Elephas maximus indicus: one gene and its partner. The protein of the gene in region 1 interacts with the protein of each later gene in a pairwise test. Links are inferred from orthologs where the notes say so. Each region holds a gene or a part of one and is shown on either strand. Other genes may lie near its edges.

Evidence for each region. The genes of interacting proteins can lie anywhere in the genome.
Region 2: the proteins of CDK5RAP3 (region 1) and TSPYL4 interact in binary tests that used the Homo sapiens proteins (3 or more experiments, as listed by UniProt). The two-hybrid records come from large-scale screens. The link is inferred for Elephas maximus indicus from reciprocal best matches to the Homo sapiens genes CDK5RAP3 and TSPYL4.

Annotation. Positions count from the first base shown.
Region 1 is NC_064837.1:45,515,884-45,526,289, reverse strand, and holds the start of CDK5RAP3 (CDK5 regulatory subunit-associated protein 3), read left to right. Parts: upstream 1-5,187; 5' UTR 5,188-5,279; coding exon 5,280-5,291; intron 5,292-5,511; coding exon 5,512-5,557; intron 5,558-7,605; coding exon 7,606-7,737; intron 7,738-8,023; coding exon 8,024-8,124; intron 8,125-8,503; coding exon 8,504-8,552; intron 8,553-9,179; coding exon 9,180-9,358; intron 9,359-9,597; coding exon 9,598-9,734; intron 9,735-9,957; coding exon 9,958-10,102; intron 10,103-10,406. UniProt on the Homo sapiens protein: Substrate adapter of E3 ligase complexes mediating ufmylation, the covalent attachment of the ubiquitin-like modifier UFM1 to substrate proteins, and which is involved in various processes, such as ribosome recycling and reticulophagy (also called ER-phagy).
Region 2 is NC_064819.1:182,860,054-182,870,965, reverse strand, and holds TSPYL4 (testis-specific Y-encoded-like protein 4), read left to right. Parts: upstream 1-5,840; 5' UTR 5,841-6,169; coding exon 6,170-7,393; 3' UTR 7,394-9,823; downstream 9,824-10,912.

The sequences.
Region 1 (10,406 bases):
CCTCATCCAATCAGTTGGAAGTCCCTAAGAGCAAAACAACTGAGGTTTCTGGGAGACGTCCTGCCTCAAACTGTATCGTCAACGCCTGATTGAGTTTCCAGCCTGCTGGCCTGCCCTACAAATTTTGAACTTGCCAGCCACCACAATTGCATAAGCCAATTCCTTAAAATGAATCTCCAGATAGATAGATGGATATAAAGGTATATAAATATGCATGTATCTATCTATCTATCTGTCTGTCTGTCTATCTAAGGAGCCCTGGTGGTGCAATGGTTAAGTGCTCAGCTGCTAACCAAAAGGTTGGCAGTTTGAACCCATCCAGCTGCTCCACAGGAGAAAGACCTGGCAATCTGCCCCTGTAAAGTTTTCAGCCTAGGAAACCCTACGAGGCAGTTTTACTCCATCACATTGGGTTGCTAACAACAACGGCAACATCTACCTATTTATCTATCAAAATATCTATCTATTTATCTGTCTACCTATATACAATACAGCTAAATCTAGATGGATAGATAGACAGACAGGTAGATACAGGGGGAGTCCCTGAATGGTATAAACAGTTAACATGCTCAGCTGCTAACCAAAAGGTTGGATGTTCAAGTCCACCTAGAGGAGCCTTGGAAGAAAGGCCTGATGATCTACTTCCTAAAAAATCAGCCATTGAAAACCCTGTGGAGCACAGGTCTACTCTGACACACATGGGATCACCATGGGTTGGAATCAGCTCCATGGTAACGGTTTTATAGATACGAAAAACCAAACCAAACCCAGTCCTGTCGAGTCAATTCCGACTCATAGTGACCCTATAGGACAGAGTAGAACTGTCCCACAGAGTTTCTAAGGAGCACCTGGTGGATTTGAACTGCCGACATTTTGGTTAGCAGCCATAGCACTTAACCGCTACGCCACTAGTGTTTCCTTTATACGTATAGATATCCTATTTAGAACCCTGATAGACACACTCTTCACAATAAATTCTCTCCAATCTCCCCTTAAGCATCCTGTGTTCCCAGAATAAACTTCTTCAGGAATAGCCATGCTCTCACTTATCTCTATGCTTTATACATTTTATTCCCTCTTCTCAGAATGATGACCATTATTCATCCCCTGCACCCCCCCCCCCTTGCTCCTCTCCCTTCTACCACAATTCATACCATTCCTGCAAGATGCAATCCAAGTGCTACTTCTCCCAGGAGGTAGCTCTGATGTTTTTCCACCCCCATCCCATGCCTTTACCTCCAGTTTGAGTCAGAAACTCCTCCTTTCAGCTCCCTGAGCATCTGAGTATATCACTTTTTTGGTTTGTATGGAATTTTTTTTAAATCACCTACCATGTATGAACATAGTGCTGGGCTCTGGGGCTGCTGTCATGGTGGTATCTTCACACATCATACTTCCCTTAATGACAGGGACTATGTCTTCTTGTTAAGGTCTCCAGCACCCTGGAAGACAGTGCTTGGCAAATAGAGGGTACACAACATTGAACTGCATAGAAAGAAGGCAGATAGATGGGTCATTTGGCCACGGACTTGGTTTTCCTTCTCCTGGAAGAGCAGATCCCCTCACCCACTGTGACAAGGATGATGAGAGAATGAAATGCAGTGTCTCCTTCGAAGATGGCACATCTGATCCATTTCATGAGGCCACCCAGTGAGCTGTTACTCCCCAGAAGACTAACAATGCTGAAAGGACCTGGAAGGCATGGCTGGCCAGGGAGAAGGGAGCATTCAGTGGCCCTGGAGCACAACCCAGCTGACTGGCCTCAAATAGGCCTTCACTGGTGTGTGCTTAACTCAAGCCAGCCAGGTCTGATTTCTTCCCTTTGGTCCCAAGAGGCTCAGGGAGGAAAGGGGCTGGGGAACTTCCCCCCGACCCCCAGCCCATGCCCAGACCTTCCAGTCCAAATCATCATGGTCCCCATTCATCATGACCACGACCATCATTAAATGCCTCCCTGCTCACGGCTGCACCTTTTCCTGCTCCTTTCTTTAAAAGCATCCACTAAGCATCACTCAACTTCAGGTATCACGCAGGGGCTGGGGTTACAGAGATGAGCAAAACCGAACGCCCTGCCACAAGTGGTTCACAGACTAGGTGGGAAGATAGAATGAGGGAAAAAAAAAAAAAAAAAAAAACCCACACACAGAGAGATTACACTTCAAACAACAAGAAATCCAGACTAGGCTGTTGTGTTTCCGGGGCTTCTAGCCCATCAGGCAGATAAATACACACACACACATACATACAGCCCATGTGGCCACAAGCAGACACGCAGGAGACATACAGACCATAAAATACTATATATATCACGGACAAAAGAAGTGGCTTATTTGTATGTCAAAGGTAAGCCCTCTCTTTATGGATCTTGCATGAGGATAAGTAATGATCGCCCAGGATCAGGTGTGGTAAGAAAGGACTTTGGAAAAAGGGGCAGAGACTGTTGGGTAGGGGGACGGTTTCCAAGTGTCTGGTACAACTGGGGAGAAAGTGGGACTCAGGGCAAAGGCCAAGAGGGGAGAACTGGGACTGTTGTGGCTAACAGAGTGAATGGGGCAGGATAAACAAAGGCTCATTTCAGGGAGCAAGAATGCAGGCTGGGAAGACAGACAGGCCTGAGTCTGAATCCCAGCCCCACCAATTACCAGCGATATGACCTTGGACAAATTACTTAACTAGCCAAGCTTTGGCTTTCTTGCCTTTAAAATCTGGCTAATAACAGTATCCACATTACAAGTGTGTTGGAAGGATCAAATTAGATAAGGCTTGTAAAAGTAGTTAGCTCTACACCAGTACGTGGTTATCACTTAATAAGGAAGCTTCCTGGGGCTCTGTGCTTCCCATCCAAAGCTGGCACAGCCCTGGTTATGTCCTTCCCCACCTCCCTACAGGGCTGCCCCTCCCCAGACAGCAGCCCTGGGCCTTCTCCGCCCACAAGCTCCTGGAATTCCCTGTGGCCTTGGAAAAAGAAAGCCCAAAGCCCATGCTCCTGTGCTCTCTGGGGCTGCCTCCCTGAGGCTGACAGCTGAGAACTGCTCTGGAACATCATTCTGCCCCATGTGAGTCACCTGGGGAGACTGTGGGTTGGGGTGAAGTGCCAACAGTCTCTGCCTCCACCGCCTCACCAGGGTGGGTCTAGAAGACCCACCCTGCCCGGCTCTGCCCAGTCTGTTGGTTCAAGGAGGAAAGACGCGCTTTGAGGGTGGGGCGGTGTCATGCTCCTTGGGTTGTCCCAGAGAGCCCAGAACACACAGCTGGAGCCAAGTGTTTGTTGAATCATGCGGGAGCCCAAGCAATTCCTATAGCCTGAGTCAGGACTCTGAGAACGGAGCTAAAGTCCATGAGAGAACCCTGAAGAGGCCTTCCTTCTGCCCTGTGAGCCTTCTTCAGGGAAGCTGGGGATAGGGAATCACTGTCTGTCAGCCCATTCTACAATAATAATTATATGTATAATGTTTTTTATATATGTACACACACATATACATATAGTTTACAAAGCATGAGAAACTCTGTCTAAAGTATATTGTGAACTGCAAAGAATTATGTACATCTAATGTATTTCTTTCTTTAAGCCAATAAAGAGAAATACCCTGAGATAGTCAGGATAGGTGCTATTGCCAAGCTGCAGTTGAGGAGATGGTGGTTATCTGAGAGGTTTTGGAAGTGGTCCAGGATCTCACTGGGCAGGAACCCATCAAGGACATGGTGAAACCCATGTGAAATTGTTCACCACAGGTTAGTAAGTAAACACAATTAAGTTTGTGTGTACCTTGCTTACTGTGGCCAGTGTGTATCTTGCTTACTGGTTAATTTGCCCCTGCGAGCATCAGTGACTCCAGACCTGTAAACCCAACTGCCTTCTGCACACTTTCCACTTGGTGGTCTCCCAACACCACCAACCCTGCAAGTTCAAAGCTGAGATTCCCTCCTCTCCAACACCTGCTCTGCATCCTGCATCCCTATCACAAGAGGTGGCACTCCCGCTCCACCCAAAGTGTCATCTTTGGTGTCTCTCTCTCCCACTCTACCCCTAGCCTATCAATTGCCAAGCTGGTGTCCGTTTTCCTCCTAAACATCTCTCACATCCAGCACTTCTCCTCCTCCCCATGGCTCTGGCCGAGTTTGGGCCCTAACCTCTAGATAACCTCCTGACAGTCTCCCTGTCTCCAGACATGTCTCCCAGGAATTACTCCTCCTTGCCGCCATTAGAGAGATCTATCAAGAATGCCAATCTGTGTAGGTCCCTCTGCCTGGAACCCTTAAAGCCCTTCCGTGTTTCCTCTCTGACTGCAGGGGGTGAAGTCCAAGTTCCTTAACAAGGTTTCTCTATGATTTGACCCTTCCACCTTTACAGTCTTATCTCAGGCCTCGCCCTACCTCTAACTTTTTTACTGCAGGGAGGCTGGCTTCACCGGAAGGGCACTCATGTAGTCACACAGAGTCCTGCACTCAGTTTAATGCTCTGCTTGGTTCTTAATAATTGTTGAACAAGGGGCTTTGCACTGGGCCCCCCAAATTATGTTGCAGATCATGCCATGTGTTGTTCCTTGCACCCCTCTTGCAGTCTCTGGCTCCAAAGCTTTGTCTGTGCAGTCTCCTCACCCTAGACAACCCTTCCTATGAACCGCCTATTCTGCAGCTCTTCCTTTAAGACTCAGTTTAGTTGTTATCTTTGAGATGCTCCCCCTAACCCTCCTCTCTCCCTCTTCTCAGCCTTCATCGCCCAACACACATAGCCAGAGTTAAACATCTCTATTAGATAAACTGAATGGAAAGACAAATGTGACAAGTGCCACAGGAGATGTTCATACTACTATAGACAGTAAAGCAAGGCAAGGTGGGGGGAAGAGAATTAGTGGGACCGGTCGGTCGGCGCTAGGACCTCGAGTACCGACTTATTAATTCCTGCGAAAACATCTCAGCGCCCTCCTCAGGTGGAAGCGGCCGGGGTCGGCTCTCGGACGCCGCCTGTCGCAATCGTGCAGCCGCTGCAGCCCTTTTCAGGCTCCCCGCCCCGCCCCGGTCCTGAGCCCGCCTCGCGTCTCCCATTGGCTGCTTCCCGTTCTCCCGCCCCTCTCGGGCTCAGCCATTTGGAGTCTGCCGGGGGGTGGGGCTTGGGGCCAGGGGTGGAGCATGCGCCCCGATTGGTTCTGCGGAAGGCGGTGACGTGGCCGAAGGAGGCCTGTTTGTGCCAACACCGAGGATCAGGCACACCGCCACAGGATTGGTGGTGGGGCGTGGCTGGCTTGGGTCTCCTGGCCGGAAGCGGAAGTGGCGGAGAGATGCAGGTGGCGGTACGGTTGATGGGGGAGTGAGGGTCTGGCCTGGGACCCCTCGACGGTGTCCGTCCCCGACCCGCTCCCCCGGCCTCGTCCCCGGGCGCGACCCTCCCTGGCCCATTGTTCCAGTCCTGCAGGGTCCTGCAGGGTGGCGGTTGGAACCGTGAAATGAGCGCGCGAGTGGCGTGTCCCCTCTCGGCACTTACGCCCCCCTCCCCGCTGTGTTTCCCGTTAGGAACATCAGCACGTGCCCATCGACATCCAGACCAGCAAGCTGCTCGGTAGGAGGGAGTGCTTCCGCGCAGCCGGCTGTCGGGGGCGGGGAGGCCCGGTTCTTTGCCCCCAGTCGCCGCCAACAGCCAGGAGTCCTGACTCCTGATGGTTGAGGCACTGACCACTAGCCAAGCCAGCTTCTGTGCGTCACCTATGATCATACCTGCCTCGCTAAGAGGAATGGGAAGGAACCAAACGTAGAGTCCAGCACTTGACTTGCGTTTTCTGTTTTAACATATGTCATCAAAACGTATCATTTCGGTACAGAGAGGGTAAACGTCTTGCCTTAAAGACATCCGTCTACTAAGTGGCAGACCCGAAGTTGGCACTTCAATCTGTCTGGCCCTGATGACCATGCATTGTTATATTATGCCAGAAGAAAGCTTTCCCTCCTTTCTTCTTACAAGCTTCCATCTCCCCTTGATTTTATGCATCGAGGGGCGTAAGACCCAGTTGGAAATAAGACCTTGTAGTGGCTAGGCCATCTCTCCGCTGTCTGTATGTGGTCCACATGCCTCCTCCCAGTTCAGAGCAGGGGAAGGACCTCTTCCTTCTGTTCCAAGCCTTTGCTCAGCTGTTGCCATTTTTAAATGTTTATTGGATTGATAGATTTGATGCCAGTCTTGTCCTTAAGAGGGTGTCTGACTATCTCAACCATTTGATTCTAGTCCTGTGACATCTGTAGAATTATTCTTTCTGGAAACTTGAGAAATACAGGAGAGGAAATATAACTCATACTAGAATGGGACTCCAGTGTTTGACCAGTGGCTGATTTAGTTAACAGTTCCGGGCCAGCATCTGGGATTCAACACTATACGTGCCCTTTAGTTTGTCCTGTGCAGTGGTCTTTAGCTTCGTTTCACATTTGTCGCAGCTCTTCAGCACGTGTGTACCTTGGTGTATGAGCTTACTGTTGGTTATGAAATGGACCAATAAAACAGCCGCCATTCATTGAGGTTTTGTTCTATGCCAGGCACTGTTTTAGGTACTTGACATTATAAAAATGAGGATCACTAAGATTTCTTGAGTCCTTGCCGTGTGCTAGGCATAAGGGTGAGTGTTTTACCTACATGACTCCTTGTATTCAGTATCTCATTATCCCCATTTTCCATGTGGGGAAACTGAGGCACAGAGAGGTTTGAGAGGCTTGCCCAAGAAATTAGAGAATTAGAGTCTAGGACCATCTCACCACAATAGCTGTCTCCTATTTAGGAAACGTGTACATGACTCTCGGTCCACCCATATTCTTGTTAGGTACCCTTGAGTTGGTTCCAACTCATAGTAGTCCCATGTGACAGAGTAGAACTGCCCCATAGGGTTTTCTTGGCTGTAATCTTTATGGAAGCAGATTACCGGGTCTTTCCCACATAGCCACTAGGTGGGTTCGAACCACCAAGCTTTTGGTTAGTAGCCAAGTGCTTAGCAGTTGTGCCACCAGGACTCCTTGATCCACCCGTACCTTCCACTAAAAATACAAATCTGGGCTCAAACTCCGGGAGGCCAGTCACGTTGGTATTCTCATGTGCAGGGTGGCACTTCACTGTTAAGCATAGATGAGTGTTACCTAGTCCTTGGGGCGCTAGAGGTATTAGGGGCTTTACAGTTGTTCATTCATCCGGTAGTTAGCATAACCGTCTTGTATTTTCCATTGTCATGGTTAATCCCAGCCCTGAGGAAGTGGAAGTTGAACAGCATCCTCTTTTAGCAAGAAAGATATAATTACCCATAGAAGCAAAAATATTATGAAGACTTTAGAGTGTCAGAAATGGCACTTTCATGTCAGGATCAATTTAAAGTTTTGGTTTTTATTTTTTAATCCCTGTGTCAAGGCAGTTCCTCTATAAAAATCACCCTGAGGATGAAGTCAGGTTGCTGGAGTCTATTCAGCCCCAAGCATCCCTTTGGGTTTGTCTTGACTCTCATTCTCCCATGACCCCTATAGCTTAACCAGTATGAAGAAAACCCGCACCCAGTGCCTCAGCCTGTTCCACTTGGATTAGTGATGGGTTTTGGTGGTGGGAGTGGGAATGCTGTGATTTGGGTGTTTTTCGTATAGACTGGCTGGTGGACAGAAGGCACTGCAACCTGAAATGGCAAGGTCTGGTGCTGACAATCCGAGAGAAGATCAATGCTGCCATCCAGGACATGCCAGAGAACGAAGAGATCGCCCAGCTACTCTCAGGATCCTGTGAGTGCTTTGGGGCTACATTGCTGGAGTCCCTGCTTCCCAGAACAGTATGTGTCAGCTGAGCTGCTCCCCTGTTCTTAAGCACTGGGCTGACCCCCAGAAAGATTTTTGTTTGGGGTATAAATGATGGTTTCTTCCAACACAAAATAGTAAAAAGGGAGAGCTGTGCATGTTCATCATTAACTGGCAGTTCACATGAATCAGCCACACGCCATGTTGTTGTCAGAGCAGGTGGGAAGTTCTTAAATTGGAATTCTCAAAGTTGTCACTCTTCTTTGCTTCCCAGACATTCACTACTTCCACTGCCTGAGAATTGTGGACCTTCTTAAGGGCACTGAGGCTTCCACGAAAAATATTTTTGGCCGGTATTCTTCACAACGAATGAAGGCGAGTGTGGGCTGAGGGCTGGGAACGGGCAGCTAGTGACCTCCAGCCTATGGATTTAGAGCCTCTCTAGTTTTTCTGAGGATCTGGTGGGAGACTCTGATTTAGAATATTTCCTCAACTATCCCTGTGTCCCCATAGCTCATGCCAAAAGTAGATCCTACCCCCTGGGTTGACATTTTCAGACCTGCCACTTTGGGGATCACTTGTTGGCACCATGCTCTTAAAGTGGGTGGTCCAGCCAGCGTTTTAGGAGTTGAAGGAGGACAAGGAGTTTATGTTTGATGTGAAGACTGGGAGGGCTTCCCCTGCTGAGGGATTGAGCTGGGATATGACTGCAGAGTGCTTTTCTGGCTCACTTCCTGTTTCTCTTCCTACTCAGGATTGGCAGGAGATTGTAGCCCTGTATGAGAAGGACAACACTTACTTAGGTAAAGTGGCCCAGTCCTGGTGACTGGGGGGAAACCCACCCACTCCAAGGGTTCTGGGACACCAGGTTTATAGAAGGCACAGCTGGTGTCTGGGAAGAGGCAGGGGTGTAGATGTTGCCTCTTGGGGGCAGGGGAGGAAAAGGAAGCAGAGTAGGTAGGCCTGAGTAGGGGTGTGAGATAGAGTGGAGTGCCCCCATCCCTGTCCTGTGGGAAGAAGAGTCATGCGCCATCTTGGGGACCACCATCTCGCACCTGACAGGGAGCAATAAAGGGCTGATTGTGGTTCGGCTTATGTTTTGTAATAGTATAAGTAATAACAATAATAGCAGCCAATATTTTACTGAGCACCCATTATATGTAAGGAGTTGTGCTTGGTATTTTGCATGGATTTCCTTTTTTACTCCTCACGATAGGTATTATGGGTCTTGTAATATTAATGTCCCTGTTTTACAGATGAGGAATGGACCAGAGAGGTTAAATGACTGGTTTTAGGTTCCACAGCTAGGAAGGCAGCAGCTGGGAAGGCAGCCCCATGCCCTTCACCACCACGAGGGCATTTGTGTGTCCTGGGGCATGCTGGCCTTTTGGTGTGGTTGGCCTGAGGTGTATTTCCTGGGCCCTTCTTAGTGGAACTCTCTAGCCTCCTGGTTCGGAATGTCAACTATGAGATCCCCTCACTGAAGAAGCAGATTGCCAAGTGCCAGCAGCTACAGCAGGAGTACAACCGCAAGGAGGAGGAGGGCCAGGCGGGGGCCGCCGAGATGCGGGAGCAGTTCTACCACTCCTGTAAGCAGTACGGCATCACGGTGAGCAAGCCAGAGGGTCTCGTTGGGGTATGGAGCACCCGGGCTGTCTGCCTTCCTGGGACCAGTCTAGTCTAAGAGGCCCCAGCTCCTTAACTGCTGGGAAGAACTCCCTTCTCAGCTCAAGTTGTGCTCTTCTTGGGCTACTATCTGGCCTGTTGCTGTCTTTTGATGTTTCCTTTGATCTCTTGGACTCTACCTTCTACCACTCTGCCACGGCCCGACTCTTCTGCCCCCTTTAGGGAGACAATGTCCGAAGAGAACTGCTGGCCCTGGTGAAGGACCTGCCGAGTCAGCTGGCTGACATTGGAGCAGCGGCTCAGTCTCTGGGGGAAGCCATCGACTTGTACCAGGCCTGCGTGGGCTTTGTGTGTGAATGGTAATGAGGGCCTCAATTTCCCTCTAGCAGGAGGGGCAGTTTACCTGTTTTCCCGGCCATTCTCTCTTCCCCACTTGTATTTTTCCCAGGTGACATTTGAGCTTTATTTTACACACTTAAATTCAGTGAGAGTCTTGCCCATTTGACCACATAGCCCAGGTCAAAGCCCAGTGTTGGCTTCATGCATGGTCAGCAGGAGGGTCTGTTATGTGATCTCTTGAAGCCCCACAGAGCAGGTATTGCCAATGCTGAGATACGTGCAGAAGCGAGGAAACTCAACAGTGTATGAATGGAGAACGGGGACAGAGCCCTCTGTGGTGGAGCGGCCACACCTTGAGGCACCTCCTGAGCAGGTGGAAGAAGACGCGGTAAGACAAGCCTTGTTAGGAGGCACCTGCCTTATAGATGTGAGTGCAAGTATGGCTGCCTCCTCCCCACACATTCAGCCCAAATCCCTATGACCTGAATCCAGACTCCCAGAAGGAAGAAAGGGGGATTTGTGTGAGAGAGGCTATAGGTGGAAGGGCCCAGAGAGCCTACTCCTTTTTTTTTCTGACCTTCTTGAGACCTGAGTATGGACGTGGCTCAGCAAGCTGGAACCAGGAGCTCTTCGGTCACACAAGCTCTCTGAAGACAGGCTTTCTCTTGGGGAGCTTGGGGGCCATTGGATTT
Region 2 (10,912 bases), on another chromosome or scaffold:
TCCACTAGAGTTCTGGAAATCCTGATTCAGTCCAACAGGATGGTCTCAAGGTTATTAATCAATGCTATCAGAAGCCTGTGCCCAACAGTACCTGGCATAGTTCCTTCTATAAGTCTCTGAGATAGTCTCTTCTTGTTGAAGACAAAGAACTCTGACCTATAGCTGATTGCAAGTATTTTCAGGGAAGCATCAGAGTAAAACAAAAATATATGTAGTGGACAAAAGACTTAAAATGGCCGTGGTTAACTTATTACTGATAATTTTCAAAAGTGAAAGATCTGATGAGAGTCCATTACAAAAATAATGTAAAAGACAGGGAAATTTGGTTAGTGTATTTTTACACATATAATGCGTGCCTTCTACATTTGTTTACCAATTGCTCCCTCCCCCGCAAGGTATTTTGGTAAGCTCCACTATGCCAATTCTTTTTACATGTGCTATAGCAAAATTGGAAACCCTGGTAGAGTAGTGGTTAAGTGCTACAGCTGCTAACCAAAAGGTTGGCAGTTCGAATCCACCAGGCGCTCCCTGGAAACTCTGTGGGACGGTGCTATGCTGTCCTATAGTGCTGCTATAAATCGGAATCGACTGGATGGCAATGGGTTTGGTTTTTGGTTTTATAACAAAAATTAGAATAGCGCACTTAGGAAAATACCTTAAGGGGTGAGGGAGTAGTTGGCAAACATAGAAGTCACACACTATTTGCATAAAAATACAGTATTTCTGTGACATGCGACATTTTAGAAGTTGAAATTATGACAGATTACATTATTATTGTCTAACATGAGGCAAAGCAGAACCAGGGCATATCATGGACAGGAAGAGCACTGAAAAATCTCTAGAAAGTTCACACAATTTCTGAAAATACATTAATAACATGTTGTCCATATAAATTTAACCTAGGGAAAGTTAAACATCTCTCGTTTGACAATGCTTCCCATGAAACTCATAACCTATCAAATACGCCTTATTATTTGTAGTACCTTTCTTTTTTACAAGGTGAAGGGACAAATCCTTTATGATTTTTCAGAGTTTTAGGTGCAAAAGATATTATTTAGGATTAGATTTTGGAAAGACAAAATGCCAAAAGCTAACACGAGGTTTGAATACTTGATTAAATAGGTTCATGGCTATGGAGAAAGAATACTTGACTACCGACTTAACCAGAGTGATAATAAAAGATTTTAAAAGTACATATAGGAGGTACCATGGCTATTAACCTAACTCTTTCAGAAGTGAGAAGAGTTGGTTCCCTTAATTTTGTTGAGTATTATCAGTCGAATACCCCAAAACTCTCAGAAATTAAGAAAACTGAACTTCTGATACTTCCAAAGTAAAAAAAAAAAAAAAAGCGGGGGGGGTACTCCTATGAAAACTAACCCAAATGTTTTAAAAATTCAAGTTCATGTAATTTTGGTGAATCTGTGACAAACTAGTTTACTATTGTTTGTTTAATATAAACAGCTGTCTTCTGAGTTATCAATGTTAATTTACATAAAGTATGGCACATCTGGAGGTTCGGTGGTAGAATTCTCACCTTCCATGCAGAAGACTTGGGTCCGATTCAAAGCCAACACACCTCATGCACAGCCACCACCCATCTGTTAGTGGAAGCTTGCAAGTTGCTATGATGCTGAACAGGTTTCCATGGATCCTTCTGACCAAGACAGACTAGGAAGAAAGGCCTGGTGATCTCCTTAAAAAAATCAGCCAATGGAAACTCTACAGATCACAACAGTCTGATCTGCAATTGTGCAATCATGGGGATGGCACAAAACTGGATAATGTTTCCTTCTGTTGTAAACAGGGTCACCATGAGTCCAGAGCCAACTCAACTGCTGCTAACAAACAAATGTTTATATAAGTGCTTATTTATCTCTAAATTAAAATAGAGCTCCTTGAAGGAATTTTATAAGTTAATTTTGGTAATACCATTCAGAGGTAGGAATGTATTATACGTATATACATATATATATATATAAAAAACATGCTGACAGATACAACTATAGAGCTTATATCTTTAAAATTTCAGCCATGAATTAGGCATAAACACCAAAGTATAAAACTCACAGGTTTATATAAAACAGCTGACTTTAGTTCCTACTCCACCTTTATATTTTTACTAAAACTTTATTTCTGGCAGATGGGACAGGTTGGTGTTATCAGTCAATATGAGGGGTAAATCTTCCCCACAAATATTTGTAGAGATGACTTTAAGATTTTCTTGCACTATTGTATAATTTTAGGGAAGCTGTGGATTAAATTTTAGGTAGAAACTCAGAGACACCAACTGACTGGGTGTTTCCAAAGTCCATTCGGATGAATAAAGTATCCAGTTTGTTTCCAGTTAACTTTTCAGCCTTAGATGGTTGCTTTTGGGGTCCCTGAGCACCTTGCTACAGTGGTTTATTGGACTGAAGAGAAGGTGGTCCATGAACTGGGTTGTAAAGGAAAATTCAAAGAGTGGAGCAGGAGGTTCAGGGAAGAAGGGGTATAAGGGATTGTTGGGGGAAGGCCAGTCTGTTACACATATGCAGTGTGAAGGGGATGGAGTGGGAAGGGAAAGGTCTGACAGGGGTTAACAGAAGGTTGGAAGAAGTAGGAGTACTAAAGGGGGGCAGATAAAGGATTCAAGGGAGCTGAAGGGAAGGTTGATGGTGGGAAAAAGGAAAAAGGAATAAGGGAGAGTGATGGGAAGGGAGCGGTCTTAGATGAGCTAGTTTGTGAAGATCTCAAGTTTCCCAAAAAAGGCAACTGAAGTTCTAAATTGCATTAGTAAAAGCTGACCATTTTTGGAGATACTAGACAGAATGACTGCCACAGTGGCAGTAATGTTGGAGGAAGAAGGAAAATCAGAATTTCCCATAGTGAAGAAAAAAAAAAAAAAAAAAGTGAAGGGAGGTGCCAAAATAACAGACCAAAAATCAAATGAGATCTCAACAAAAGAAGATGATCAAAATTAAAATGAAATATGGATAAAGAAGACCAAACTCCAAACAAGCGCTCAATAGAGGCCTCACAGAAGCACTGGAAATTTCCCAGTCGAGTCAGATTCTGGATCCCCACTCAAAGTAACAAGAAGACACCTGCCAAAGAAAATTCTTGCTTGACCTTCCATGAGACAGTCACTGGGCTAAAGAAGAAACTTCTATGCAGCTCCTTATCTAGCTGGGATGAGCCTGACCCGTATGAAACAACCAACAAAGTTAAAAAGTAGAGAACACATACATACCAAATTGGTTGGCAAAAGTCATAAGAGCTATAGAAATTCAGAGGACTATCAGGATGGTAAGATGGTTAAGGAACATAGGAGATGGAAAAAAAAAAAACTGCCAATTAATATATATATATAACTACGGGCCAGTTAACCTCTCTGAGCTTCCTAGGTCCTTGCTTATGAAATTAAATGCATTTAAAATGCCTACTACAATCTATATGAGGTAGACTTGCGATGAGTTTTAAAAAATGGACAGGGTGTCATGAGTGGAAAGTGATTCAAGTGACAGGATTAGTCAAAGCTAAAACTAAAAAAAAGAAACCTGTTGCTGTCGTGTCAATTCCAACTTGTGGCGACCCCATGTACGTCTCGGCCAAAGCTACGAACAGGGATATTTCAAGCAGTAGAGATATAAGCCATGGTATTTTCAGTTGCTCCATATGTATTCGAAAGCTGGACAATGAATAAAGAAAACGGAAGAAGAACTGACACCTTTTAATTATGGTGTTGGCAAAGAATATTCAATATACCATGGACTGCCAGAAAAAGGAACAAATCTGTCTTGAAAAGCACAAATAGAATGCCCCTTAGAAGCGAGGATGGCGAGACTTCAATTCATGTATTTTGGATATTATCAGGAGGGACTAGTCCCTGGAAATGGACATCATTGTAGGTAAAGTAGAGGGTTATCAAAAAAGAGGAAGACTGTCAATGAGATGGACTGACACAGTGGCTGCAGCAATGGGCTCAGGCATAATAATGATTGTTAGGATGACACAGGAGTAGTGTTTCATTTTGTTGTACATAGGGTCACTATGAGTCAGGACTGACTCGTCAGCACCGAACAAGAGATATAAATGTTTTTAAAATTTTAATATATACATCAAGAGAAAAAAGTTCACAGTTAGTAGCCCTACATAATTGAATAATTTTCTGTTGCAAATAGAAAACAGTTTTTTTTTTTCCCTGCATGGCAAAGTAATTTTTCCGTAAGCACCTGCTTTTTCTCTGCATCTTGGCTTGTTATAATCCAAAAGAATTGCTCCTTCGACAGCTCAAAGATTCTTTAGAAAAAGAAACGAAGCATAGCAGTGCTAAAGAATGACTCAGAGTCTCACACTTAATTATAGCATACTGTTTACTTGTTTACAAAGAATATAAACCAATATATTGATTTCCCCCCTCAAAGGTAAGATTTAATAATGGAAAGAGGGCAGAGAAAAGTAATTACAGTTGGAGAAGTATGACTCTAGCTTGCACATTTTTTATAGGATGACTGATTAGCTGGCAGCCAGTAGAGGTCAATTTGGATAGTTATGTCCTTGTGTAGGCTACTAGAGGCACAACAAAAACTCAAACGTCTATAAATTCTCCAGAAAGCTTTTGTGAGCTAAGCTATGAAACTGTGACAGATGTTTTCTTTGTAGTGTCTGCCAGTGTCTTTCCAACAGCACCTCATCCTTAGTTGGAGTATGTTTCTCATTAGAAGTCTCATACATATTGCTTCTCTCTCTAAATCCTTCTCACTAGATCCTCTTCCAAGCCCGTGTTTGAAAGTGAACAAAATCTGGGGAGCTTCCTGAGAAAGTTTCTCTTACAAATAGTTATAATTGTTTCTCTAATATGAATTTAAGGTATTAATCATAAATATGTAACATTTAAGTTTCCCTTCGGTCTTACATTGTTCTAAGGGTAAACACCAGTATTCTCACATCCCAACAAATAACACAAATAGCAGACAGTAGTGACATTACTGTCAAACGAATTCTATGAGCTGACTTGAAAAGTTAATAGCTAAACTTACTTTACATAAGCAAATATTTTAAGAGATGTTTAATAGCTTAGGTGGCTACAAACAGTTGATTATTGCCTTTTTACTGCAGTGAATTACCATAGAGCAAATATTGGTAATATTTGCTAGCTTCATGCCCACAGGAAACCCTGGTGGTGTAGTGGTTAAGTGCTACGGCTGCTAATGCAGAGGTCAGCAGTTCAAATCTGCCAGGCGCTCCTTGGAAACTCTATGGGGCAGTTCTATTCTGTCCTCTCTCTGAGTCAGAATGGACTTGAGGGCAGCCAGTTTTGTCATGCCAACAGGCATTATGCAGCAGGAACTCCTTTTAGATGAAGATTATAACCTGAGGATAAGCAACATATAGTATGCAACATTTGAGAGATTAAAGTACCCTGAAATGATATTTATTTCAGTAATAAGGGTGAAATGTGTGTTTGTGTCGGGGGGGAGGGGTGCCGCCTCTAAGTAAGGAAAAAACATTTTACAACCCATATTAGCTAAAAGAGGAAATATTGTCCAATTGCTTTATAGATGTTGTCCAAAGTACATAAACTTTAAAATCTGTAAGGCAGGTTTAAATAATCTTTTTATTGTACCTTGTTAGGATGAGCAGACTTTCCATTTCAACTGCTCCTAATTTTATCATCACACTTAACACAGCAAAACTCCACTTTTCTTAAAAACCAAGCTCTGCATGTCTCAATTCTTTGGTAATAGCCAAGAATCTGTACAAGGAGGGAAGACCTGTGAATTGCACAATCTACTGAATCTTAGAAATCCTCATTAACACAGTTCCTGTTTGGGTTTGGTTTACCTCCATTTAAAAAGCCAAAAACCAAATCCGTTGCCGTCGAGTCGATTCTGACTCATTCCGACCCTATATTTATGTAAGTCAAATCTTTTTTCCAGGCTAAATTCACATTTTGTAATACGAAGACAAAGGAATACGCTAGGAATGACAAGCATAATAGGGGAGGGGGAGAGAGGCGGTCTCGCGAAGTTTTAAGATACGACAGCCCTGACGTCAACCGTTGCCATGGAAGCATCAGCCAAAGACGAAAAGAAGGGTGGTGCGAGGGGCTCATTGGGGAGGAGCGCGGCTTCCAGAGAGGACAAGGACAAGGGACGCTCCTCTTGCTGGTTTAAGTTCTATCAAAATGAGTGGTCTGGATGGGGACGATAACCTCCCTTTCGCTAAAAGCCGAGACCTCGCTACTCCCGATCATGCCACGGGAGACCCGGACCCACGCCAGTACCGGAGGCTCCAAAGGGAATCCGATGTGACACAGGTGATGGCGGACATGGCCGGAGTCACCTTGGGGACCGCCGCAGGTTCTTTCGACTGTGGCTTCGCGCTCCGCTTCCGAGTTCCTATTAACCGCAACCAGGCTGCAGCCAAAGCCGGGCAGGAAAAGGCTCCACCTCCCACAGGACGCCCGAAAGCCGCCTGTGCCTCCGTGGCGTTTGACCGCACCCTGAAAAATGGCCACCTTGGTGAAGAGCTGCAGGGCCCTGCAGGGGAGAAGGCCCTAGAAGCCCGTGGCGCAGTAGGCGTGGCGTCTCAGATGATGGCGGGGGCGAAGGCCAAGGAAGTGACGACTAAAAAGTGCGCCATCTCAGCGGCAGCGGAAAAGAAGAGAGAAGCAGAGTGGGTGGTGGAGGAAAAGGCGGTACAGAAGGAAAGAAAGGCTGTAGGGGAGATGAAACAGGAGAAAGCGGCCAGAGTACCGAAGACCGGTAACTCCCCGGGCTCGCTGGAGGCCATCGATCAGGAGCTGTCAAACGTAAATGCCCAGGCTGACCGGGCCTTCCTTCAGCTGGAGCGCAAGTTTGGCCGGATGCGAAGACTCCATATGCAGCGCAGGAGCTTCATCATCCAGAATATCCCAGTTTTCTGGGTCACTGCCTTTCGGAACCACCCCCAGCTATCACCTATGATCAGTGACCAAGATGAAGATATGATGAAATACATGATCAATTTGGAGTTGGAGGAGCTGAAACACCCCAGAGCCGGCTGCAAATTCAAGTTCATCTTTCAGTGCAACCCCTATTTCCGAAATGAGGCGCTCGTCAAGGAATATGAGCGCAGATCCTCAGGCCGAGTAGTGTGTCTTGCCACTCCAATCCGATGGCACCGGGGCCAAGACCCCCAGGCCCACGTCCACAGGAACCGGGAAGGAAACAGTATCCACAGCTTCTTCAACTGGTTCTCAGACAACAACCTCCAAGAATTTGACAAGATTGCTGAGATTATCAAAGACGAACTGTGGCCCAATCCCCTGCAGTACTACCTGATGGGTGAAGGTGGCCGCAGAGGAATGCGAGGCCCAGCAAGGGAGCCAGTGGAGAATCCCCTGTCCTTCAGGTTCCAGTCTGGCTGACTCCTGCCGTTGTGAGAAGCTCCTTAACAAGTTTCCTTACCACCTCGTCTTGGACCTGTGCTTAGCCAACAGCATGCGAACTTTTATCTGCTTTCTCTTTATGCTGGTTTGTCCTTTGGTTCTTCTAAAGCTTCGACAGCCAGTTGCAAGATTGTCACCTCTGTGTCTGTGCTCTTCTGCTTCCTCTCAGCCTTCGCTGCTTTTCTGCAACATGTTACGTGTTCCAAGCCCGTGGCCTACCACCGCTTTGTGCCAGGCACATGATGCTGTAGATGTGCACTGCCTTCCTCTGCATGGCTTGGAACCTGTCAGTGGCTGTGGTCTTCTCCCAGTTTTTTATGTGTTCATCTACAAGAAATCCACAAGGAAGCTTGATAGGTCTTTGCAAACAACTATTTGGACTTCATGCCTTATGCTGACTGTGCTCCTGATACCCATGCGCTCTGCGGCAAGCTTTGCATTTCACCACTGCAAAATGAAGCTAAAATAGATGGTGCCAGCCATCGACCCAAACTGGACATTCCAGGCCTGTATCAACTGTATTTCAGCTGCCTCCCTTGGCCCATGCCATCTACACTGCTGGTTGTCTGGCAGAACAGGGAGGTGGCTAGTAGGTGGCTACTAAGTATGAATGAGGTAAAGGACAAGAAGTGTTGTATGTTTTTACATTGGTTTTCCTGTGCCTCCGTCACCCTGCATTGTGACCAGCTACGGGTGAGTTTATGAAGGCCTCTGCTATGGCCCCCCCCCCCACCTGCTCTCACCTTTCTGGATAAGGTTTGCCTAGGCCACCAGTGTTTGCCTCCTCAGTACTATCTGTGGACCCAGGCTCCCAACCAGCACACAGGCAAACATCCTTCCCACCCCCCAACCTTAAATGATTACCCATAAACCTACTCTGCTGTTAGGCAGGTTGGACAGCCTTATGTGGCAATGTGCAAAGCTAAGGGGAATGGGGCCCCTTTCAGCAGTCAGCCTTTCTGAGCCCCAGCCAACAAACCACACTTAATCTTGGCAACTTTGTTAGGTGCCCTCCTCATCTCCCCTCCTGTACCTACCCTGAACACAACAAGGGTGCCAGGATGGAAAGAGTGCCACAGAGGAAGACGTGTCTCTGGCTTGCAGGGCCTGTTATGCCTGTCTTTCTCTCTCTAAAGCAGCTACAACTTAGAAAACAAAACTGTTAAAGTAGGCCTTTTGTGTAATTTACTCTTCTCTTGATTGTGTTGAGAGGGAGAAAGAGGTACTGTAAAATAGACTTCAGCTTTCTAAGTGCCCTCTTCTGTCCCCATGCCTCCACCCCATTTCCTTTAACAAGTCCTAAAAGTTTCAAAGGGAGACCTATAGGTTAATTGCTTAATTATGAGCAGTGTTCTTTTAGGCTAACTTTGATAACCCCACCCCTTTTCCTTATCTGTTACGCCCAAATCTCCTGGAGGTTTCTTGAGCTTTAGTTTGAGAAACTGGGAGGAGAGAAGTAACAGACCCAGAGCAGGATGTGATTTAAGGCAACTAAAACTAGCTTCACTCCATTTTTCTAAAGATGGAAATTCTCTTTTGGGCCTTGGACTACTTAGAGATATAAAGCCCAAGGCAACATTTTGTAGGTCACACCAGGTTCTCTAGGCTAGGAAACTGAACACAAGCAGAATGCACCTGCCGGAGAGTGGGCCTGGAGACCTGCAGGGCCTGTGGGGGAGGGGAGGCCCCTGGGGCTGTTCCCAGGTAGGGATAGGACAGTCAGAGGGGTTAGGGTTTGAATAGGGTGCTTGGAAGAGGGTTTTCCTCCAATATTCCCTAACTCCTTGAATTCACCAGTAGATTTTTGTAAATAAAAATGCAAGTCTTGATGTTTTCTTTCTATTGTTCTAGGAGTGCCCTTTTGTATGTGGTAGATAGTGATAAACCTGCCCCTCATGTCACCGTTTCTGAGTAAAATCCTGTTAATTCCTTTCCCTATTTCTGCATACTGGGAAAATTGAAGTTTACAGACCTGCTTTTTGCTTGTAATTGAGAAAGTTTGCAAAAATATCGATTTTGTTTTCCCATGCAGTATGAAGATTTGTGTGAATATTTAGTTATATATCTTGCTTGTTCTGGTCTCTGTTTATCTATAGATCTAATCATAGAAATATAATTCAACTAAATGTGATCCTTGTAGAGTCTGAAAATTTTGGAAATTGTTGCTGTATCTTGTGAACATAATCTCCAAAAGAAAAATGTAATTGTTGTCTTACTTGATAATCTCTTACCTTAGTAGCAATGTTGTACTTGACCTTTTATGTTCCTAACCAGAGTAAGTACTTGTAGAATTGCTGTCAGACTAGATGAGGATTGTTAGCATTGTTGTCTTCTCCTATGTACTTGAAGGAAAAATAGTCTGTTATTCTGTTACATGTATTTTCACCAAAAAATAAAAATGAAAGTCAGTCTGCCTGCATTGTCTCAGTTATGAAAAGTTGGAAAATCATTAAAGTTATCAAATGGTCACAGGAAGCATTTTCCTGAAAGTTAAAACAAAAGAAACCACCACCACCAAACCTGAAGATTTTTTGCTTGAAAAATGGTAAGTCTAGCTGCAGTTGTCCAGTTGTCCAATTGTCCAACATCATTTTTCCTAAACAGTGTGGGTTTTGAGTGGTAATTGCAGCACCATATATTGATTTCATCACTTAAAATGCTGTTTTCATCCCAGCTTATGAATTTATGTTCACTGTGCTCCTTTTTGGTGCTCCCCTAGGCCTTATTCTCTTCTTAATTAGCATAAGATGGGACTTTGGAAGAATGAATCATTGTACATTTTATCTGTGAATGCTTCTTAAATTCTTTTCCTACAACAATATGGTGCTTCAAAAGAAATAATAACAGAAAAAAAATGAAGATCTAAATATGACATCCACAAATGACATTGCAGCTTCAGTTACGGCTAATGATAGCTTTGCTGTTCGGCAGCTAGTATGTGAAGGTTTGGGGATAAACATACCTGCATCTGCCTTCTGTGTAGTAGAGAGGCCTATGAATGCTGCAAAATCTATAAAAATAATCATATATTTTTAGCCATCTAAACAGAAATTTGACATAAATGGCCCAGAACTTCTGATTTGAGTTAGGGACTTAATTATGTAGTTACAGAGTTAAATAGATGTGCTGACTCTTGGTACGATTCTTATTTGCAAGCTCTACTTGTTGAGGTGTAATTTTTCTAGGCTGGGAGAACTTTTAAGTATTAGAGAACTACGTTTTTTTTTTTTTTTTTTTTGCAAGCTCAAACACTCATCTTAATCCTAAATTTCCCTTCCTGTGTTCATTTTACCTTTTCAATTCAGTGATGGATTTCGGCATTGTAAATCAGCTGTTTCAAGCATTATCGCTTTTCTGTCCTTGTCTGGACATAACCAGAAAATGTCATTTTTGTTGCCCTTGATTTTTCCTCAGCTTTAATCTAACCAATAATATTTATTCTAACAGGCTGGCGGCACTCTCATTTACTACAGAGGAACATGGTTTCTGTTCTGTTTA